2 linked regions of the Xenopus tropicalis genome follow. The protein of the gene in region 1 purifies or fractionates together with the protein of each later gene. This does not show direct contact. Links are inferred from orthologs where the notes say so. Each region holds a gene or a part of one and is shown in the gene's direction. Other genes may lie near its edges.

The links. Proteins that work in one complex are often made in the same cells at the same time.
Region 2: the proteins of ess2 (region 1) and fra10ac1 purify together in Homo sapiens (co-immunoprecipitation; 3 studies listed by BioGRID and IntAct, counting the BioPlex papers as one, with this or other methods). This does not show direct contact. The link is inferred for Xenopus tropicalis from reciprocal best matches to the Homo sapiens genes ESS2 and FRA10AC1.

The regions. Positions count from the first base shown.
Region 1 is NC_030677.2:153,456,785-153,467,153, reverse strand, and holds the start of ess2 (splicing factor ESS-2 homolog), read left to right. Parts: upstream 1-5,031; 5' UTR 5,032-5,225; coding exon 5,226-5,378; intron 5,379-6,510; coding exon 6,511-6,679; intron 6,680-8,384; coding exon 8,385-8,468; intron 8,469-8,567; coding exon 8,568-8,740; intron 8,741-10,369. Other genes in the region: gsc2 (homeobox protein goosecoid-2), read left to right, coding at 897-998. UniProt on the Homo sapiens protein: May be involved in pre-mRNA splicing.
Region 2 is NC_030683.2:36,062,884-36,073,152, reverse strand, and holds part of fra10ac1 (protein FRA10AC1), read left to right. Parts: intron 1-371; coding exon 372-448; intron 449-1,674; coding exon 1,675-1,758; intron 1,759-3,013; coding exon 3,014-3,098; intron 3,099-3,803; coding exon 3,804-3,849; intron 3,850-10,269. UniProt on the Homo sapiens protein: May be involved in pre-mRNA splicing.

The DNA.
Region 1 (10,369 bases):
TGGTGAAGTGCCCAGCAGACACTTGGCATCCCTGTTTACTCTTTGACCCCAGCACCTTAGTCACAGACACCTGGCATCCCTGTTTACTCTTTGACCCCAGCACCTTAGTCATTGGTCCCAAAATGCATTCATTTATTGTCTCCTTTGTTTGACTCATGCCACATTGGGCTGATTCTCAGCCTGTGAAAAAACACAGTTAGAGAATCAGCACCTCTGCTGGCATTAGCTTCCTTCTTTGCCTGCACCTGGAGCCATTCTGTTGGTTTGTGTGCAGGCACAAGCAATGGATATTGGCTAAGAAACTGGGAGTTTGCATTTCAGAGCCAATATCCACTTTGTGTGCCTGCACCTGGGGTGACAAAATGGTTCCTAGTGCAGGCAAGGTAAAAGGCTGATGCCAGCCTCCTGGTTACATATATTTAAAGGAGAAGGAAAGGCAAAGTCACTTGGGGGTGCCAAAATGTTAAGCACCCCCAAGTGACTTTAACCGCTTATCTTGTACCCCGGGCTGGTGCCCCTGTTCGGAGAAAATAGCACCAGCCCGGGGTACCTGGAGCGCAGCACTTCCTCCTTCCGCCTTCAGCTTCCTAAACTGCCGGTGGCCGGGCATGCACAGTAGAGCGAAAAAGCCGACTTAAATGTTTAAGTTCGGCTTTTCACTCTACTGCGCATGCGCGCGCAGCGAAGCCGGAAGGAGGAAGTGCCGACAGCTACCCCGGGCTGGTGCTGTTTTCTCCTGACAGCGGCACCAGCCCAGGGTAAAAGGTAGGCGGTTAAAGTCACTTGGGGGTGCCTAACATTTTGGCACCCCCAAGTGACTTTACCTTTCTTTTTCCTTTAAGAAAGCTAAAAGTATATAAAAAGGAAACTGATTTGTTTTGTGAATGTCCCCTCAGGTATGGTTTAAGAACCGAAGAGCTAAGTGGAGAAGACAAAAGAGAGGGGCAGCTTCTGTGATCATCCTTCAAGCAGCAAAAAATGTACCTGAGAACTGTTAGCAAATCATACAACATCACACACATCCACAATGAAATGCCCCTGCTTAGTAAATAATCCCTTTAAAAGGAGTGGCTTGCAGGAGAATAAAATCCTTATTTTATCTATAGACCGTTTTGATTAAATGAGATATTAACCCTTTGCAAAGTACAACCAAAGTGATAGGACTTTGTAAAAGGAGCACTTTTCCAAATATAATCTTTTAGCACATATGAATTCTTTGCCTTACATACGGCATTAAAGTTTGCGCATACCCAATTTCAAGATTGAGTTCTGTTGCAAAGATCGTCAGTGGGAACAAACATTCAGTGTGGACCACTGCAGCTTGCCCCAGCCATCCTCATTCACTTGCATAGCATTAATCTGACTGGCTGCCAATAGGATAAATGCTATGCAAATAGGTGACATAAGGACTGGGCATGCGCAGTAGCACTTAAACCCACAGCTGTCCTCGATTAAGTTTCGTACCCTGTAGCACTCTCTGTATTAAAGGGGTTGTCACCTTAAAGGAATTTTCATGATTTTTATGGTATACTTTTTATCTATAAATTACACATAGCAAATAATTCATTCTACCATTTAAAATTTTGTTGTAATATTAGTATGAAGGCAGCCACTTCAGTGCATTGCGCCTGATTCTGAGCTTTCAGAAGGAGCCAGAGCTACACATTAGAACTGCTTTCAGATAACCCATTGTTTCACCTACTCCTATGTAACTGGAGGAGTCCCAAGCAAGACTTGGATTTTTTACTATTGAGTGCTGTTCTAATATCAGGTTCCAGGTAGCCCCTATCTTGCTACCATCCCATTGTTCCACTGATCGGTTGCTGGGGGGGAGGGGAGGGGGGTGATCAATCCAACTTGCAGTGCACCAATAAAGTGTCACTGAAGTTTATCAGTACAGGTCACATGGCCGTGGTATCCTGGTAAGTGAAAAACATGGCTAGCCCCATGTGACATTTTAAAATGAAATAAAAAAAACTGTTTGGAAATGGATTCAATGCAGTATTCTGCTAGAGAAGCTCTATTAATGGATGTGTATTAAAAAAAAGACACGTTTTTCCTTGACAGTATTCCATTAATAAAATTTTAGAATGATGTAGAGAATGATATTCTTAGACAATTTACAATTGGTGTTCATTTTTGATTATGTGTGGTTCTTGGACTATTAAACTTTTTGTTCAGCAGCTCTTCAGTTTGGAATTTCAGCAGCTATCTGATTGCTCGGGTCCAAATTATCCTAACAACCAAGTATTGTTGTGAGTAGGAGATTGGAATATGAATAGGAAATGCCTGAACAGAAAAAGTAACAGACTATAACCAGCAATTCACCAAATACAGGATTCACTTCGGGATTTGGCCAAGCTTGGCCTTTTAGAAGGATTCAGCCGAATCCATGCTTTTGGCTGAACCGAATTGGAATCCTTAAAATCACATGACTTTTTGTCACATAAACACAAAAACTGAAAATGTTTTGCCACACACATATTTGTCTTATCCCTTCCTTTTCCTAATTTACATATGCAAATCAGGATTTGTTCGGTATTTGGCCAATTCTTTTGCAAAGGATTCAGGGTTCAGCCAGATCCTTAAATACTGGATTCAGTGCATCCCTAAATATAACACAATAACAATAAAATTGTACCCTTACGGAACAATAGTTTTTTGCTTCTGGGGTCAGTGATCCCTCACTTGAAAGCTGTAAAGAGTCAGAAGAGGAAGGCAAATAATTAAAAAACTAAAAAAAAAAAAAAAAATGAAGACCAACTAAAACGTTGCTGAGAATATTTCATTTTAATACACACAAAAAATGAACATAAAGGTGAACTACCCCTTTAATGGAATGAATTTGGGGTCCAGCAACCACCTTCTACAGAGAGGAAGCCCAAAGCTGTCTATCTGGTAAGGGGCCACATTAAATACTACTAAAATTTTAATGATAGTTTTAAAGGTTACACCTTTACTATAAATGTAGTTATTTAGGTTAGGTTTAGGGAATGGAATTGTCTTTTAGTGACTCTGTAACATGCTTGGAGTACACCCTTATCTCTTATCTTCACAATGCATTATAGGATTGCCTCTATTCTATTACCACTTTTAATTACCTTTTTAGTGACTTCCACCCTTTTAACTCTGGAGGTGGGGCCCAAAATATTGTGTGTATTGGCAAAAAATAAGTTATGGGGTTTAAACCTCTCAGCCATTGTGCTAATAACAAACAGGTCAGAGATAGGCCAGGAGAAAAGCCTATCTGCTGCCTTCCATCCCCTCTATCTGTATGCACTGGATTTACCACTTAACACACTGAGAGCATATTTAGCAGTGCACACAGAGAAATGGGATGGAAGGTAGTGGATCAGCTACCAATGTGCCATTAACCTTACAAAGTAGTGATGCTTTTTATTGCTTGTTGTGCTGAGAAAAAAGTGCCAGTATCCTTGTAATCAATCAATACAACATGTGAATAGAGAAGATTCAAAATATACTTTTTGCAAGTGACAAGGAGATCACCACAAGGCAGATATACAGTACAATTTATTGCAGACTTAAACAACACAACATGTGAAATATATTTTGCTGTACAAGTGTGCAACAAATTCACCGAGCAGAACATCTACATTCTGGTGTTCTCCTCTATTTGCAAAGAGAATATCCTAAGGTGAACGGCTCCCCCTTCTGGAGCTTGATGCAGCAAGCCTGAATGCAGTAAGGTTGTGAAATGCCTATTGTAAAATGCCTATTGTAAGATTACAAATATGTAATTTATTAGACAAAGATCATGTCTTTATTAGACAAAGATCATTACAATGTTTTACAAAACATTAGTAGTGTATATGCATTTAGCAGGGTTGCAAACCAGGCCCAGGGATTCCAAACAGGCCCTGGCATTTCAAGTACACAGAGACCCAAAAAGCCCTCCACCAGCCCACTAAATAGTTACTGTCTATGGCATCTTACAGCAGCCCCTCTGAAAGGCATGTCCTTGTATGCATGCTAATTAAATCATAATGATCATAAACATTCTCAAGGCACCTCAAACAGCTCCCAACCAGAGGCGGGCCAAGCTGACCGGCCATCCTAGGCAATGCGGTCGGTCACCTCTTCCCTGCACTTTCCCCGCCCTCGTGTGTGCTTTGGCGCGCATGTGCAGTTCCATCAAGCACAGGGGGAGGTCATTGCCCCCACCGCGTAATGACAAGCGGCGGGGGCAATGACAAGGTAGCGTGGACTACGGGGTAGGCAAGAGAGGTTCCTGCCTGGCGCCCCCCAATCGTTGTGCCCTAGGCAGGTGCCTGTCTGTCTACCCCTAGTTCCGGCCCTGTTTTGACAGCTCAGCCTGCAGTCCTGGATTCTTACTGAAAAGTCCCTCATTGCCCTTTTCATTGCACTGAAGACCAAAAAAGATACAAATGTTTCTCAAACTTAATTAAAAAGTAGCTTTTGGCAGAGAGCCCAAAAAGTTAACAAGCTTCACCTGCACTGAAATACAATTGTAACTTATAAGCTAAACAGGTCTCTTGTGGGGAACTGACTTGCAGCTTAAAGGGCAATTTCAGCATTTTTTAAACAAAACTGTAATAACACATAAAACAAGACCCCAAAAAATGAAATTCACCTTGCTATGTGTGGCATTTCTTTTTGTCCCTCTTTCCATTTTCAAAATGTTGGGAGGTATAGTTCCATACTTTTGTAAATCACATAAAGTGACATAACATTAACTACAGGATATAAAATACCGTGTCAGTATGTAATACAAATATGAATTGTAAGCAAACAAGCAAAATCAAACTGTACCTATAAAATAAGTGAATAGTCTGAAAACCCGAGGAAAAAAAATGTAAATTTTATAAGGAATGGAATTCCTTTCCCTGGTCTCTTTCCTACTCAGCATTTAAACTTGAATATAATTATATTTGGTATTTATCCCTTTTGTTATTATTGTATTGACTCCTGTATGAATTCATTGCTGGAAGGTTCCCCGCATCCCACACTACAACTTCCGGCAATTTACTCACGTTACAACTACGTTTCCCAGAATGCAATACGCTATTGCGCTTCATCTTCCGGAATGCGTTGTGGTTGTATGGTGTCGGAGAGGGTCTGCTGAATGTAGTTATATTGCGGTGGGATTGCGATTTGTTTTTTAGACGTCTATACACAGCAAGAATCCTTGTGGCTTTATATATGTGAGCGTTTGTGTGCTGGTGTCTCTGTGTCAGTACCGCGGGATGGCAGCCCCTGGAGCGGAGAGTGAAAACACTGGGGCATTAGTGAAACACAAGCCTGGAGCAGGAGCTTTAGACATACAAAGAGAAGTCCCTGAGGCAGCAGAGAGCAGCAGGCCAAAGAAGAAGGTGCTGTGTGAAGAGACGTATATACAGGTAAGTCACGGGGGATACGGTGACATGAGAAGGAATGTGCTCTTGAGTGTGTTTTTGGGGACAGCTGTCAGATCAGTGCGATGTCGTAGAGTCTTTGCAGTACTGTGCCGAAAAACTGAGCACTGGCCCTATAATATTCACACGCATGGCAAGTTACCTAAACTAAATTACATGAGACGGGCAAATGCCCCTTTGACAATAGAGCAACTACTTCAACCAATAATCACAGGTTTTTTTTTAATATTAACTGTTAAATATATATTATCATAGAAGACAGTGGAGCTCAGCTATAAGCAAATGTCAGTGGTATCATCAGGCACAAAGTTCCTTCTGCAGGTGAAAATTTAATGCAACTTTCCCACCGGCCATTCACTTTATTGCCGATGGAAAGGAATTTCTTGGAGATAAGTCTCCCACTGTAGCCGAGATCTAACCATGGGCGACTAATTTCACCGTGGGCCCTTACCCTTGACCCCTACATGTTTACCCATCTGCAGTAACCCATAGCAACCAATAAGATGTTTGCTTTTAAAAGGTGATCAGTAAATGCTACCTGCTCATTGTTTACTATGGCTTACTGCACATGGGCAAACTTAGTACCTTACATAACCCCTATATAGTTTGATAATAGCCCACTGGTTCTCCTTTTAATGCATGCCACTCAAAGTTAAAGCAACATGTTATGGATGTATAAATGAAAAGAGTAATTGGAACAAGAGCCTGCTTGCTAGTTTTTGATGGGTTCCCACTACTGAGAGCAATTGTATTAAAAAAAACTCCCAAAAAAATAGGATTTAAATAGAAACCCTATATTTTCTAAAATGCTTGTACCCTTATCAGCAGATTAATGCCTAAATGAAATGCCACATTAACCCCCTAAACTTGGAATTCATAACATGAAATACAACTTTTCTTTTGTGTTTTTTTTTTAATGAGGAATATGTGGAGTGTGTGGACATCATATGCTCCGTTTTAGAGATTCAGTTTCAGTGGTTAGACAAATCTTGATTTTTATTATATAAAGTGTGATTACATAAGTAAGTCTTTGTCTAGCTTGTCTTTTGTACGGCATAGCAAACAGTATATGTGGTTTGTAAAAACCACCTTTTTGTTTTTCTCTATCTTCATGCAGAATCTTCAGAAAATCATTCAGAGAGATTTCTTCCCAGATGTTGAGAAGTTGCGGGCTCAGAAGGAATATTTGGAAGCAGAGGAATGTGGAGACCTTGAGAAGATGAGACAGATTTCCATTAAGTTTGGCTCCACCTTGGGCAAATCAGCTCAGGATACTCCACTGCCTTGTAAGTTTATATTACTAATGAGCTCATGGGGAAGATCCTGTTACTTATATATTTTATATTCATGCTACTTAATTAATGCAAATGCTGCTTGGGTTTTAAATAATGGGCTTGCCTGCTTAGAAACAACATCTAATGGGTTAATGTAATAAAATGTCTAAAATGTAGCAATTTGTAGCCGCCAATCAGTAAACAGTAATTGCTACTAGCTAATTGATTACTTTGGGTTTCGAGACAAGCTTTACACATTATTCCCATGCGAGATAGGGAGTAGCAGCCTGGCTTAAATAATTCCGAAACATTACTACATATATAAATGTAAATATTAATTGTCAGATGAGTTTGTTTTTTTAAAGACTGCAATAGGTATAGAATTTCCAAGACTGGAGCAGTGAGAAAAAGGTTTAAGGTAGGAGACAGCAATGGAAGTGGGTGGCAGTCGCATTGAAAACTTGGGAATATGTTTATTAATACCAATTTTAATTCTAGCTAAAAATATTCCCAGGTTTTTACAGTATACACTGACATATTTTAAAGATAAAATAGCTTTTTTTTTGTTTACATTATTTTGTGTTCCGGCTGTAAAACTTGGAATTTAGAGTGATAACTGGTTGCTGGGGTTTTTGTACCCTATCAATGAGGCAGAAGTTTGGAAATCAGAATGAAAGATAAAAAACTTCCCAAAATGTATTATTTAAAGAAAGTGTAATTTTATGCCTACCCTACCTTTCCAATATACATTAATATAGATTTTATTTTTAAATTAAATTAAAAGCAGCATCTTTTTATAACTTTTTGTTTTCTAGGCCTACCTTAGACTGTCAGGTTAACTGGTTCTTGAAACTGACCCTAGTGTATGTGCATACATACTAGGGATCTTATATTGTACGCTCTGCTGTGTTAGGGCGAAGACAGATGGGGTGATTAGTTGGCGTGATTTTTAAAATCCAGTCACAGCAACTAATCACCTGTTGGAAAAGTCGTGGGGACTGGTCCTGCACGGTACCATGCAAATGCAGTGAATTGTATATCTGTGCACAGAGATTATTCTTCACGAGAAGTGATGGGCAAAATAATTTGGCAGGCATGGATTTGCTGTGAATTTTCGAGTTTCGCCATTGGTGGCTTGTTTTGCGAAATGGGCGACAAAATCCGGTGCACATGGAATTTTCGCCGTTTTGTGAATCTTTTGACAGATTCGCTCATCACTATTCACGAGCGTGGTTTTCGTGCGCAGCGACTAATTGCCCCATCTGGTGTTGAGGATAATGAATTAAATAAGACTTGCCCTAAGGCTGTTTGCTGAGTCATAATACAGGTATGGGACCTATTATCCAGAATGCTCGGGACCTGGGCTTTTCCGGATAAGGGATCTTTCCGTAATTTGGATCTCCATAACTTAAGTCTGCTAAAAATCATTTAAATATTTAATAAACCCAATAGGACTGTTCTGCCTCCAATAAGGATTAATTATATCTTAGTTGGGATCAAGTACAAGGTACTGTTTTATTATTACAGGGAAAAAGGAAATCATTTTTAAAAATTAGAATTATTTGCTTATAATGGAGTCTATGGGAGATGGCCATTCCATAATTCGGAACTTTCTGGATAATGGGTTTCCGGATAAGGGATCCCATACCTGTATTTAGTTGTAAATGTGTCAAATGCACATATGGGAGATTTGTACAACTCTTTATGTTTTTTGCAGATGTAACACCAGCAACCTTTGAAACTCCTGCTGGAGTTCCTGGCACTCCCTCCATGGCCACTGTCCAAAGAACAGGAGAGGAAGGTAAGTGATTATCTATTTTTTTTTTAATATGACAAAATTGAAAGCAAAATATTCACTACTTTTTCACACTGCTTGTTTACATTAAAATATATTTTACAGCAGATGGAGCAATAACAGAAAAGAATGTTGACAAGCTTCCTGGTTTGGACAACTTTTTGGCCAGACACACAAGTGAGGATAATGCTTCTTTTGAACAGATAATGGAAGTTGCTAAAGAGAAGGAGAAGAGCAAACATGCTTGGCTTTATGAGGCAGAAGAAGAGTATAAAGAGGTATGGGGAATGGTCATTTAAAGAGTACCCACTGATGTACAGTGGATTTTTCTGCATGTCTTTACACACTAACACAAGTGTTAACAGATTTCAGTTTTTCCTGTTTGTCTATACCCAAAGGAGTGTTCATCACTGTTCACATCCAGTTTTGGACTTACTGCTTGAAAGGGTTGCTATAACCCCCACATTCCTTCTCACCCAGTTGCAGGATATAGAATTTATTTTTCAGTATATGTATTCCCTAGGGCAGTGCTGTCCAACTTCAATGGTGCCGAGGGCCGGAATTTCTCTAGCATACATGGTGGAGGGCCGCTAATGGAAGCCAGTTTTGACCACTCCCCTTTTTGAAACCACACCCACTTCCAACCACACCTATTTTATCACAATGGTGGTAGCACAGCAAAATCTTAAATGCTTGGTCCTTACTGTGGGTATCTCAACCATCATTCATATGTGAAAGAATTATGTCATATTAAGATATACCCTTAAATTCCATATGCCTCCCCCTCCCCTGTGGATAGCACAGCAACCCCCCGTACATAATTACACACCTTAGGGACCATATAATGACTATTTCCAACTGCTAACAAACTCCCACAACAAACCCCTGCCAGGATCACCTTCCACAGGCAGCATAGGGAAAGCAGAGTAAGGCACACACAGGCAGCACTCTGCCTGTCCTATGCTGTCTGTGTGTACCATACTCTGCCTGCCCTACCCTGCCTGTGTGTGCCATACTCTGCCTGCCCTGTCCTGCCTGTGTGTGCCATACTCTGCCTGCCCTACCCTGCCTGTGTGTACCATACCCTCCCTGCCCTACCCTGCCTGTGTGTGCCATACTCTGCCTGCCCTATGCTCCCTGTGTGTGCCATACACACAGGTAGCATAGTCCAGGCAGTACCTGCATAGGTACCTACAGTAGGTGTGAAAAACACAGGGGATTACATTTTTAAACAATACAGGGGATTACAGCCTGAATCTGAGGTGAGAACCATGCAGGGGGCCAGTTAATCTCAGTACTGATACCATTTAAAGCTTACAGAAAGGTAAGCCATCAAAGCAGCCAGACAAGTGGGGGGCCACACAGAGGGGGGCCGCCAGTTGGACAGCACTGCCCTAGGGTACAGAATTGTGTTTTTGTCTTTTTATAAAACCTTTTAGGCGGATGTCAGATTGGGTCTGAGAAGGCCTATTCCTATGTTTTTTTTTGTCAACAGCAAAACACTGATGCAGAAAATGGATATAACCCAAGTCTGATTTGTGTTCTTAGTAAGAAACATCACTGGCATGTGCCTGTTACTATTTACATGGGTGGATTTTCATCCAAATATGCATATCTGAGATGGCTATGCAGAAATATATCCCCTGTGCACATTGAAAGGAGCAAGCCATTGATGTCACTACAGACATGGGGCAGGAGCTGGTGACCTCTTTTTCTCTGCCAGCATTCTTTTTGTCGTATTTGAAGGCTGGTTGTTCCTTTGGCTTATTAAACTTTCTTATCTCAGTTACTCAATTAATCTTGCAAAATCTTGTGCAAATGCAGAATGACAGAACTGCTTATGTGAGTAAAATTAAAAGTTAAGTATTGTCATAAGAGCTGTCTTCTAAGGACTGGCACTGAGCCTT
Region 2 (10,269 bases), on another chromosome or scaffold:
AATTACTTTTTCACATAGGGCCATGTAGGTTTGGATTTTTTTTCTCCCTAAATAATAAAAACTCTCATTTAAAAACTGCATTTTGTGTTTACTTGTGTTATCTTTGACTAATAGTTAAATGTGTTTGATGATCAGAAACATTTTGTGTGACAAACATGCAAAAGAATAAGAAATCAGGAAGGGGGCAAATAGTTTTTCACACCACTGTATATGATGCCACCAAATAAAGCCAGACAAAAGAAGAAAAATAAATCTAATACCTGCGGGTCTTAAAAACTCATTGTTGTTTTCCAAGTCCATTGATTAAGCAGAGGAGCAGGTTATTGTTTTGTGCAGAAAATATTTGTTTCCTTTAACCTTTACTTTTGCAGTTTGCCAGACACCAGAAATTTGTCAATGATTATATTTTGTACTATGGTGGAAAACTGCAAGATTTCCAGCATTCAAAGTAAGTACTTTATACTGAAGAATATCCTAAACATTGAATTATACACATAAAACACATACACATATCCTAAACTTGTAATTAGACATAAACTAAGATAAGTGATATTCACATCACCAAAAGGCTTTGTATGCAAGTTAATAAAATCAAACATTCTTACAGGTATACACTCCTTTTCAACTTCAGCTCAGTGAACAGGACTTGTGTTGAACATACATCTTGTCTGTTTTTAATTAAGCATTATCTGGTTATTATATGGTTTTTGTTTTCTTACACTATACAAGAAAATGAAACCACTTTCACTTTCTAACTCCATATTTTACTTTCTTTCATGCTTAGTCACTGCTTAAGTAGTAAAACATATTAGTATAACAGGCTTCAGTTTAGGGTTTGTTTATGCAGAGCTCACTTTCTAGTGACATTTCCCTTGTTTATGTGGGAAAAGTGAGGTATTGAGTTTAATGAAAAATGACAGTTTTCCAGTAATTCTTTATAATGTCAAAAAAATCAGAATATTAATTAAATAATAGGCAGAATACATTTTCAACACATTGTGCTAATTATTATTAGGTGCATATAGGTGTATATTATAGTTTTTTAAATAACTGGAATTTTTTCCCACGTTATGGTTTTTTTAACTCTGCAAATAGACTAATAATAATAGTTATATTCGTCAAACCGAAAGACAATTATAATTGGTGTGTGTGGCGTTAAAGGGATTATAAAGGTATAATCATTGGGTGGTGCCAAAATGTTAGGCACCCCCCAGTGATTGCAATCACTTACCTGATACCCCTGAGTGGTGCCCCAGTCAGCAGAAAACTGCACCGGCTCAGGGTACCTGCATGCCCATGTATGCGCAGTACAGTGAAAAAACGGCTTTTTTGTTAAAGTTTGGCTTTTCACTTTACTGCGCAAGCGGTGCAAAGACAGAAGAAGAAAGAGGATCACTCACTCTCAGGTAGCCCAGGCTGGTGCAGGTTTAGGCTAACAGGAGCACCGGCCTGGGGTATCGGATAAATGATGATTACAATCACTGGGGGGGTGCCTAACAATTTTTTTTAATGCATAATGGCAGTAAAATATGTTTATATCAATATATCACCAGTACCCACACAATATCCAAACGTAAGAAGACTCAAGGACTTAACCCTTATGCATAGGTCATAACTGTACAAATTCTGTACAAAATACTGTTTTGTTATGTTTACTGCTGTTTTTATTTGCAGAGAAAATAATAAAACTGATTTGGATGTCATTAGAGAGAACCACAGATTCCTGTGGCAGGATGAAGACGAGGAAGACATGACTTGGTATATGCAACTACACGCTAGTTATTCATTAAAATTTGATTTTCTAATGCTGAGATCCCAGGTTTGTTTAAAATGTATTATCTAATTCATCAGGAAATAGACTGATGTAGTTTGAACCTAGTGATTGCGTGTTGATGTTTTTGCCAGGATGTTTTGAGTTTAATCCACCATTTGTCATGATAATGTATGTAGGGTGCAAACTTTTAATCGGAACATAAAACACCACTCCTTCATGCTAAGTGGAACAGCACAAGGCATATTATGCAAGAAACGTCTATTCACACCTTCCTTAAATGTGTAGTCACCCTAAAATAAACTTCTTTATGGTGTAGATCAGGGGGTCCCAACCTTTTTTTTATCTGTGAGCCACATTCAAATGTCAAAATAAGTTGGAGAGCAACACAAGCGTGCAAAAGGTTCCTGGGGGTGCCAAATATAGGCTGTGATTGGCTATTGGTAGCCCCTGTGTATGAATAGGAAAGAGTCTGAGAGGACAGAGAGCTGTAGATACGAAAATAGATTTTTGATTGCAGTGGTCAGTGAAAAAAAATATTCAGCTACATTTTGGTTTTCCATAAACTCATCATTAGTTGAAGTATGTCTTACCCTTTAAAGCTGGCTCATACCCTTATTATTGTAAACAAATTGCAAAGAACTGTCCCAAACTACAATGGTTTGTTTTGCACACTGCTCTGTAAATGGAGCTTAAAGACCTGTGTGTTCCTTTATGAATACAGCTTTGTCTGCATATGGTAGCGCTGAATGAGGAGAGGGCAGGGGTAGGCACCCATTAGGGTGAAGACACACTGAGTTACTAGTAGCAGCTACTTTTACGCGGCTACCAAACTTCAGAAAATACCCTGCCATAGACAGTACTGAGAATTGCCTTTGCTAAAACACACAGACAATTATCAGTAAATGATCAGCATTGTCTATTTTAGTAGCCACAACAAGTAGCTGCTACTAGTAGCTCTGTGCTAAATAAGCTAATAATGCACCATTTATATTAAAGCTGTGATACAAATATTCTGTCTCATTTTTTTGTGCATTTAAATAAAAAAAAGAGAAATCAGCTTTTTTACTGCATTTAGCTTATTCAACATACAGGAATCCTTCAAATAACTTACCTAAAATTAGAAATATGTATACTTAATCAAAAATTTATAACTACTCTAAATTTAAATGTCTCCCATATCGAGTCCCCAAGTATGGGCCCCACTCCAGACTTATTTGTTTTAATTTTTCTCTTTGACAGGGACAAGAAACTTGCAAAGAAATACTATGATAAATTATTCAAAGAATATTGCATAGCAGATCTTAGCAGATACAAGGAAAACAAGGTTTGTGACCCTAAAATAATGCCAATGTCTAACAAACATCTACAGTGTTCCCTGGTCAGCTCGCTCACCCAATGACTCTTGCTCACAGAGGGAAAACGACAGGGTGCTGTGTCATAGGTTTACCCCGACTTTTTCCAAGTCTATTTTATTAGACTTGGTTTAAAAAAAAAAAGCCTTAGAATAAACAAAGACCTACATAAATGTAGTGTCAATCGGGTGGGTTAAAAGATTTTGATCGGGTGCCGTTGAAGGTGCCCAAGTGAAATCTGAATTTAGGGCTGAATCGGCCGGGGGAGGTAGAATCCCTATTGTTTCTTCCTCCATGTCTGACGATTCATCCCTGAACCTCAATGGGGGAAACGAACAATCTTTTAATCTTTATTAATTGGGGGATGCCTAACATATAAGGACCATGCCAGTGAATATGCGTTTGTTGTCCTATAAAGAAAAAAGCAAGTTAGTAAAAAATGAAGAATTGTTGCCATTGCTGTTTTTAGAAGCTACCACAATAATGGGTTTCTGGATAAAGATTTTAGGTGGCTATGGTATAACATTTTTTAGGTGGCCAGGGTACAAAATGCTTTATGAAATCCTGTTTTATATATTAACTTTTATGATAAAAGGTGTTACTTCTTATGTTCTTAATTTTGTTCCTTTGTGCATTCATATATTAATATATGTATGACTTTTGCTTTGTTTCAACAGTTTGGGTTTCGATGGCGAGTGGAAAAAGAAGTTATCTCTGGAAAAGGTAGCATTTGATTGAAAGTCTGTGAATGTGTTGACATATATATTTTTTAATTGTCATGGAATAATAAATATATGGTGAGAGAGAGTTGCACCTAATTCAGAAAGTCTTCTCTGCCTTTAAGGCTACTGCCAAACCAGACTGATTCTCAGCTTTTGGATAAAGGAAGGACAATAATCAGTCCCTACATTAATTTATACTCTGGGTGCAGTCACACGGGTAGACTAAGGCAAGCATAGGGGCTGATTTGCGCCCTGTGTTTATTCGCAGGCTGAGAATCTGCATCAGCTGGTGTGGCAGTAGCCTAAAGGTGAGAAAGGTAAGGATGAACATAACAATATGGTAGGGCATTTTTTGCCCAGGTCTACCTTATTGCCTGACCATCACTTGTAGAGGATAAAAAGCTCAAAGAAGACCTGTCACCCAGACAATAAAAATAATTTTTCAAATTAAACATGAAACTCAAATTCCTTTTTTTATTTACACATCCATGCCCATTATAAAGGCATTTAAAAATCCCAGCTGTCAGGCAGGGCAGACTATAACTTTAACTTTCCATTCAGCTCTCACTTTCCCCTTCCCTCCTTACCATCTAATTGTGTAGCCAGTGCATGGGCATTAGGTCCCTCTTCTGGCATATAAACAAGATTTTGGTATGATGCAAAGCTTGTCTTAATAACAGAGTCTCCAAAATGGTGCCTGCCTGCTTGCTATGATTGTGTAATTCCAAGACTGAAGGAAACAAGATTTATATTATTTATAAAGTGTATGTCAAGTTAATTTTGCTCAACTAATCTGAGAAACACATTTGGAATTATTTCTTAGGGTGACAGGTTCCCTTTAACTAAAGAAGTAGGGTAGAAATGTTGTATCAGCCCAAGGTAGCCACAGCCCTTTAGCAGGGAGGATTTGTGCCTCTAAAGATGCCTCCAGTAGTTCCCATGTTCTTTTCTGCTTATTCACTGCACATTCTCTGGACCGCTGTCAGCTTAGGGACCAAAACGCAATATACAGAATACAAATGTCACAATATAAGACTGATTAGTAATTTGTACAGATAATTAGTACATAGGAGGTTAGCTTATATTACAGGCCAACCTCATATTTTGACAAAACCCAGCTTAGCTTCTCAACAGCTGCCCAGAGCACACTGAGAATGTGACTGTCACTGACAAAAATCGAGGATGATGACCCCTGTGACAACTTTGAAGGCCTGGGTCATTGCTGGTGCAGTAATTCAGTATATAACATATGTCATTTCTAGCCATATTCATTTTTAGGGTTTAGTTTTTAGGGTTTAGCAGTTATCAGATTGACATGGACTTGAAAGAAAAGACAATCTGTTGTTTACTCCTATCAGTGCATGGTGAGTGGATTTGCTAAAAATACCACATTTAGGACATTTAAATAATGTCTGCCAGAGATGCTGGTTTGTGTAATTATCAGATTTGGTCTTTTAAACTAAGCTATGAAGTGACAGTGATTTCAGTTAGGATCAAATACGAGGTACTGTTTTATTATATTTACAGAGAAAAAGAAGATCTACCTAGAAATCTGAATTATTTGATTAAAAACAGCCTAGGGTAGGGAGACGGTCCTTGTGAGTCAGTGGCAGACTATCGTGGCTTCTTCTCATTCTATGGAACCATGTGAGCCTGTGTAAATAAAAAATGTATATATTTATTTATTTTGTCACTTTTAGTAAGGGCACATAAATAAGCATTTATGGTTTAGATATCCTAAAACCCAGATATTTAATTTCAGAATTTTGACAGCTCAACATTCAGTTTCACAAAAGACGTGCATTGCAAAGTATTTTTTCTAGCACAGTAAAAAAATAAAAATGATGATCTAATACCACTTTTCTTCTGATTAACATATAATGTAAAACATTAGTGAAACTGCATGCTGATAATCAAAAACGCATTAGAACTGCATTTTTAATTATGTGAGTCGCTGCATAAGAAACTGGAAAGCATTTTTTGCCTCATACACATCGACTAAGTTGATAATGCTGATTAATTTTAAATGGGATGTTTTTCTCATAGTCTGTTTGCAAAGAAAAAATACATGATGTGTTGCTAAGCATTATTTTAATGCAGAAATTATAATGCAGAAATGGAGTAAATACCTATCTTAAGTAATAAGCGACACAACAGCAATTTATTTGATGCGCCCAAGACACTTTCCCTCACTCTGCAATCCACGAAAAATTTTGTCCTTAGCAAAATGCAGAATTTCGCAGCAAAACTATTCCTGCCAAAAAATTTAGCTCATCACTACCTATCTTCCAACCATATTATGGTATGACAGCATGTCAGATTGCTGTTGTTATATATCAGCATCATAATTACAAGAGCAGTCATCGTTCTTTCTTCTCTTCACGCCCTTCTGTTCCATTCACTTAGTAATGTCTCACCAGCCTGTGACGAAGTGCACGAAATGTGTAAGGCAAAAAAAACAGAACTAGGGATAGTCAGAACAGGCACCTGCCAATGGCACAATGGCAGGGGGCACTAGGCAGGTACCTCTTCTGCCTATCCCTAGTCTGGGCTTTCTTGCCCCGCCACTTGTCAATGTGCACGCGCCTCTGTAAGGTGATCATAACTCTTGTGTTTACTTAAAATAAGGTTTTCTATTCTTTTACTTTGCCTGTTCGTGGGATGTGTTGAGCGCCTGCTACACATCCATGGTATAATCCTCCTCCTCTAACTGTAGGTCTAGGCCATGCACACCTGGACCCCACGTGGTATTTGGTGAGCTTATTTGTGGCTCTACACAAAACATTTTATTTTTACTTGTGGCATAATATCCCGCCAGTTCCCCGCTGAGTTTAGCATAGAATTGCAGCCTGCTGTCCTTCATTATTTCTGCGTTGATAGGATGTCCCTTACACCAGGGCTTTAAAAGCTTTTTTCTCATCACTAATTTCATTTTACCCAGTTTGACATCTTTACATTGCACTAACCAATTTTGGTTTTAATCAATATTGTGGCATAATTTAATTACATTGTGGTATTTTAATTGTGGTACAGTTTTCACTTTATTTTGGCAGATCATAGAGATAAAACTTAAATAGGATGGGTCCCTATTTTTGGGTCCCAACCTGGGCCATATTTATTATATAGGTAACCAGAATGGTGACACATTATCGCTAACCTTCTCTCCCACAGCTCCCTCATGTCGTGGGTGCAGGCAGGTTAAGGGTCCCCATGTCCCCCATGCTTCCTTATTTCCCCACAGTGGATTCATTTTAAATCAATAGATCAATTCCTCTGGCAACTGTGGTGCCCAATCATTTTGGGTTATTTTACGCCAGGCAATTTCCCTTTGTCTCTGAAACCAAAATTAGGCTGCAGACTTTAAAGGCCAATGAATGTTGTATGCAGCACTGCATATAATAATAATAAGTGCTCTGAATGAATAAAGTTAGTTCTATGCAAAAATGACAGCAGAAGGTTGAACAAAGGTTAATCTTTTAAGCTGAAACTTAAGGGGGGTGAAGATGTATTTGGAGGTATAGCTCACCTCTAGGAGTAAATAGCTTACTAAGACAAACAATGGGAAAACACAGTCAGCAAGCTCTGAGTAGCAACTTCAGCAAGATAAAAAATCTGCTGTTGTAGTGGAATATCTAAATTTGGGCAGATTTTCTATCCCGGATGCAAGTTGCATATTTGTAGCACAGACAACACTAGGGGACTAATTTATCAACAATCAAATTCAACTTTTTAACACAATTCTGAAGTTTTTGGCAGAAAAAAAAAATCTAATTTTTCAGCTTGAAAACTCAAATGTAAAGAATTCAGTATGTAAATGGTGGCAAGTTCATGTGGGAGTCCTATTGGCAAAATTCAAGATATTTTTCAACTCAAGTTTTGGAAGTCAATTTGCAACTTGATTTATTAAAAAGTATGGGTGGAATGTGACTTCTCTGTGAAAATATCATTTTTAATAAATCTGCTTCTAAGACAAGAAATTTCTCTGATCTGCATGAATTTTCCTTGTGCCCCATAGCTGACCACTGTTCTCCTGAAAGCCCTCACTAGAGGGAGCTACATGCAAACATAACCTCATTCAGCATTTAAGAAAATATATAGTGCCCTGTGCAGATATCTTTTTTCTTTATTAGATTTTTAGATAGATCTGAATGATTTCACAAAGGAAGTTGGGGAGGGCCCATATACAGGCAGATAAGCTGCTGACTGGAGGGGCTGAGTCTGCAGCTTGAGTCAGCCCGTGTATGGCCAGCTTTGCTTACTACTCCTGCTACTTCTTACAATGGCCTGACATATAAGAGCTCATTTAACTCTGCAAATACATTGAGCAAAGTGCAATTTTAAATGCAATAGGCATTTTTTTTTGCCACAATGCAGCATATTTTCATTGCAACTACCACAGTTGCATCCAATTCACCAAGCGCAGAAATGATGCCAACGTTTTGCGCAGTTGTGTCTTATTTGTGTTGGAATGCACAGAAGTCCATGTGGCTTCATTGCCATGTTAATGATGTTTGTGCCTAATTTTTTCAGCACAAGAGTTCTACACCTATTGACGCCGGGTGTGAAGGGAACCCTCCAGCTACTGCCTGGTCAGTAGTTGGAGGTAGCTGAAGGCAGGAAGGGCTGAGCAGTGCCGAATGCAAATAAATGGAAGTGCAAGGAGTGCATTTTAACACAAGTACCTTTAATTAAAGTGGGGTTTTTTGTGCAACTGACTGCAGGGAAATTGTAGGTGCTGCAACTGCAGTCTCAGACATAAATGAGCTTCATAGGTTAGCTAGTCTTTGCTCTACATTTTAGTATAGTTAGGGGATCGGTTATCTGGATTATTTTAGCCCTGGAGCACCATAGCGGATAGGGGTAGGCTAGAAGAGGGCTTGTTGAGCTTCGGGCTAAGAGTCTGCCAGTAAAAGGCCTGGTGGAATAGCAAAGGGGCACCGCAGGGAGTGCCGGATTGCTGAGCCAGGTGGGGACAGGAGATCCCATAGAGACTGGGGACAGAGGTGAATAGCCAGAGTTAGCTACCCCTGGTAAGGCTGATGTCTTCTGGACACGGACATGGTATATGTTTATTGCATGATTGAAGAAAGCCTGTTTGAACAATGTGATTTGACCTGTATGCTGTGACTCCCAACAAGATGAGGGAATAAAGTGATTTTTGTTGCATGACTTCTTGGAGTGCTTCCCTTTGATTTTGGTGTGGCCTATCGAGTACAGGTAAGGGCGCTGTCCCTTTAAGAAGTTATCTCCCGGTTCTCCCTACATGCTTAATGTTAAACACCTATAGGACTGTTTTGCAATAAACATGAATTTATGCAACTTAGTTGTCATCAAGTACAAGCTACTGCCTTATTTAAGACTTACCATTATCAGTGCTGCATTTCAGAGCTCTCTGTGTCGCAGGTTTCCGGATTACAGCTGCCATATCTGTACCTGGCAAGTAGGACAGTCATTAAACAGAGAAATTATCATTTTAAAGGAGAAGGAAAGGCGAATAAAGAGTTAATCTCAAGCTGCAGGCATACCGTCAGTTCATTCAATAGTGCCCTTAAGTCTCCCCATATTTCACTGTTCAGAAGATCTGAGGCAACACAGGAAAAAAACGCTGAGCTGTGTATTCCAGATTCCCATAATTCCACGCTCCTGCACCAAGACCAGTGACATGCGAAGTTATATAGGCCATGAGGAAGCGCATACGCATTTTACACGGTGTGTGAGCGCGCTTGCAATTTCTAAAGCAGGAGCGCTCGCTCTGCAAGTGCCTGTGTTTGCGCAGTGTACGTCACGCTTATGTCTAGGGGGAGGAAGTTGGTTCGTGCAGGCACATTAAGCAGCGCCATGTTGGACAAATTTAAATATCCAACATGGTGGCCGCATAAATTGTTTATTAAAGTCTGACAGTGCAGAGAATATACGGTCTATGAAGGTTAAAAAATTAAGCAGTCAGCTACAGGGACATAAGACCTTTGCATTTATGTGGGCGCAATTTTAACCCTTTCCTTCTCCTTTAAGGATCCCATGTGCTGATAATGTAAATCTGGGGAGTTTTGAAGTCAACAGTCATTATTATCTGATATATTGACTTCTACCAGTCTGTCACTCTTGCTTTGCCCCTCCAGCACACTCATTTAATTTCTTCCTTCCCTCTTGATATTTTTTTTTTTTACATATAATCCATGTGCTTTTTGACAAAGCTGATCAACAGCTTTTCAATGACATTCTTGTGTTTTTTACCTTTCTCGGCTGAAACCTCCTTAGCCATTGATCTGTCAATTAAATCTTCTTGAACAGCTTTTCCTCTCGCTGTCCTCCGTATCCCATGACCTGTGTTAATTCTGGGTTTAAATTAATATATACTACAGTTTGAAAGTCCTCCTCAGAGTTAAACTGGGCTGATTTGTTGCCATCATAGTCTTCATTT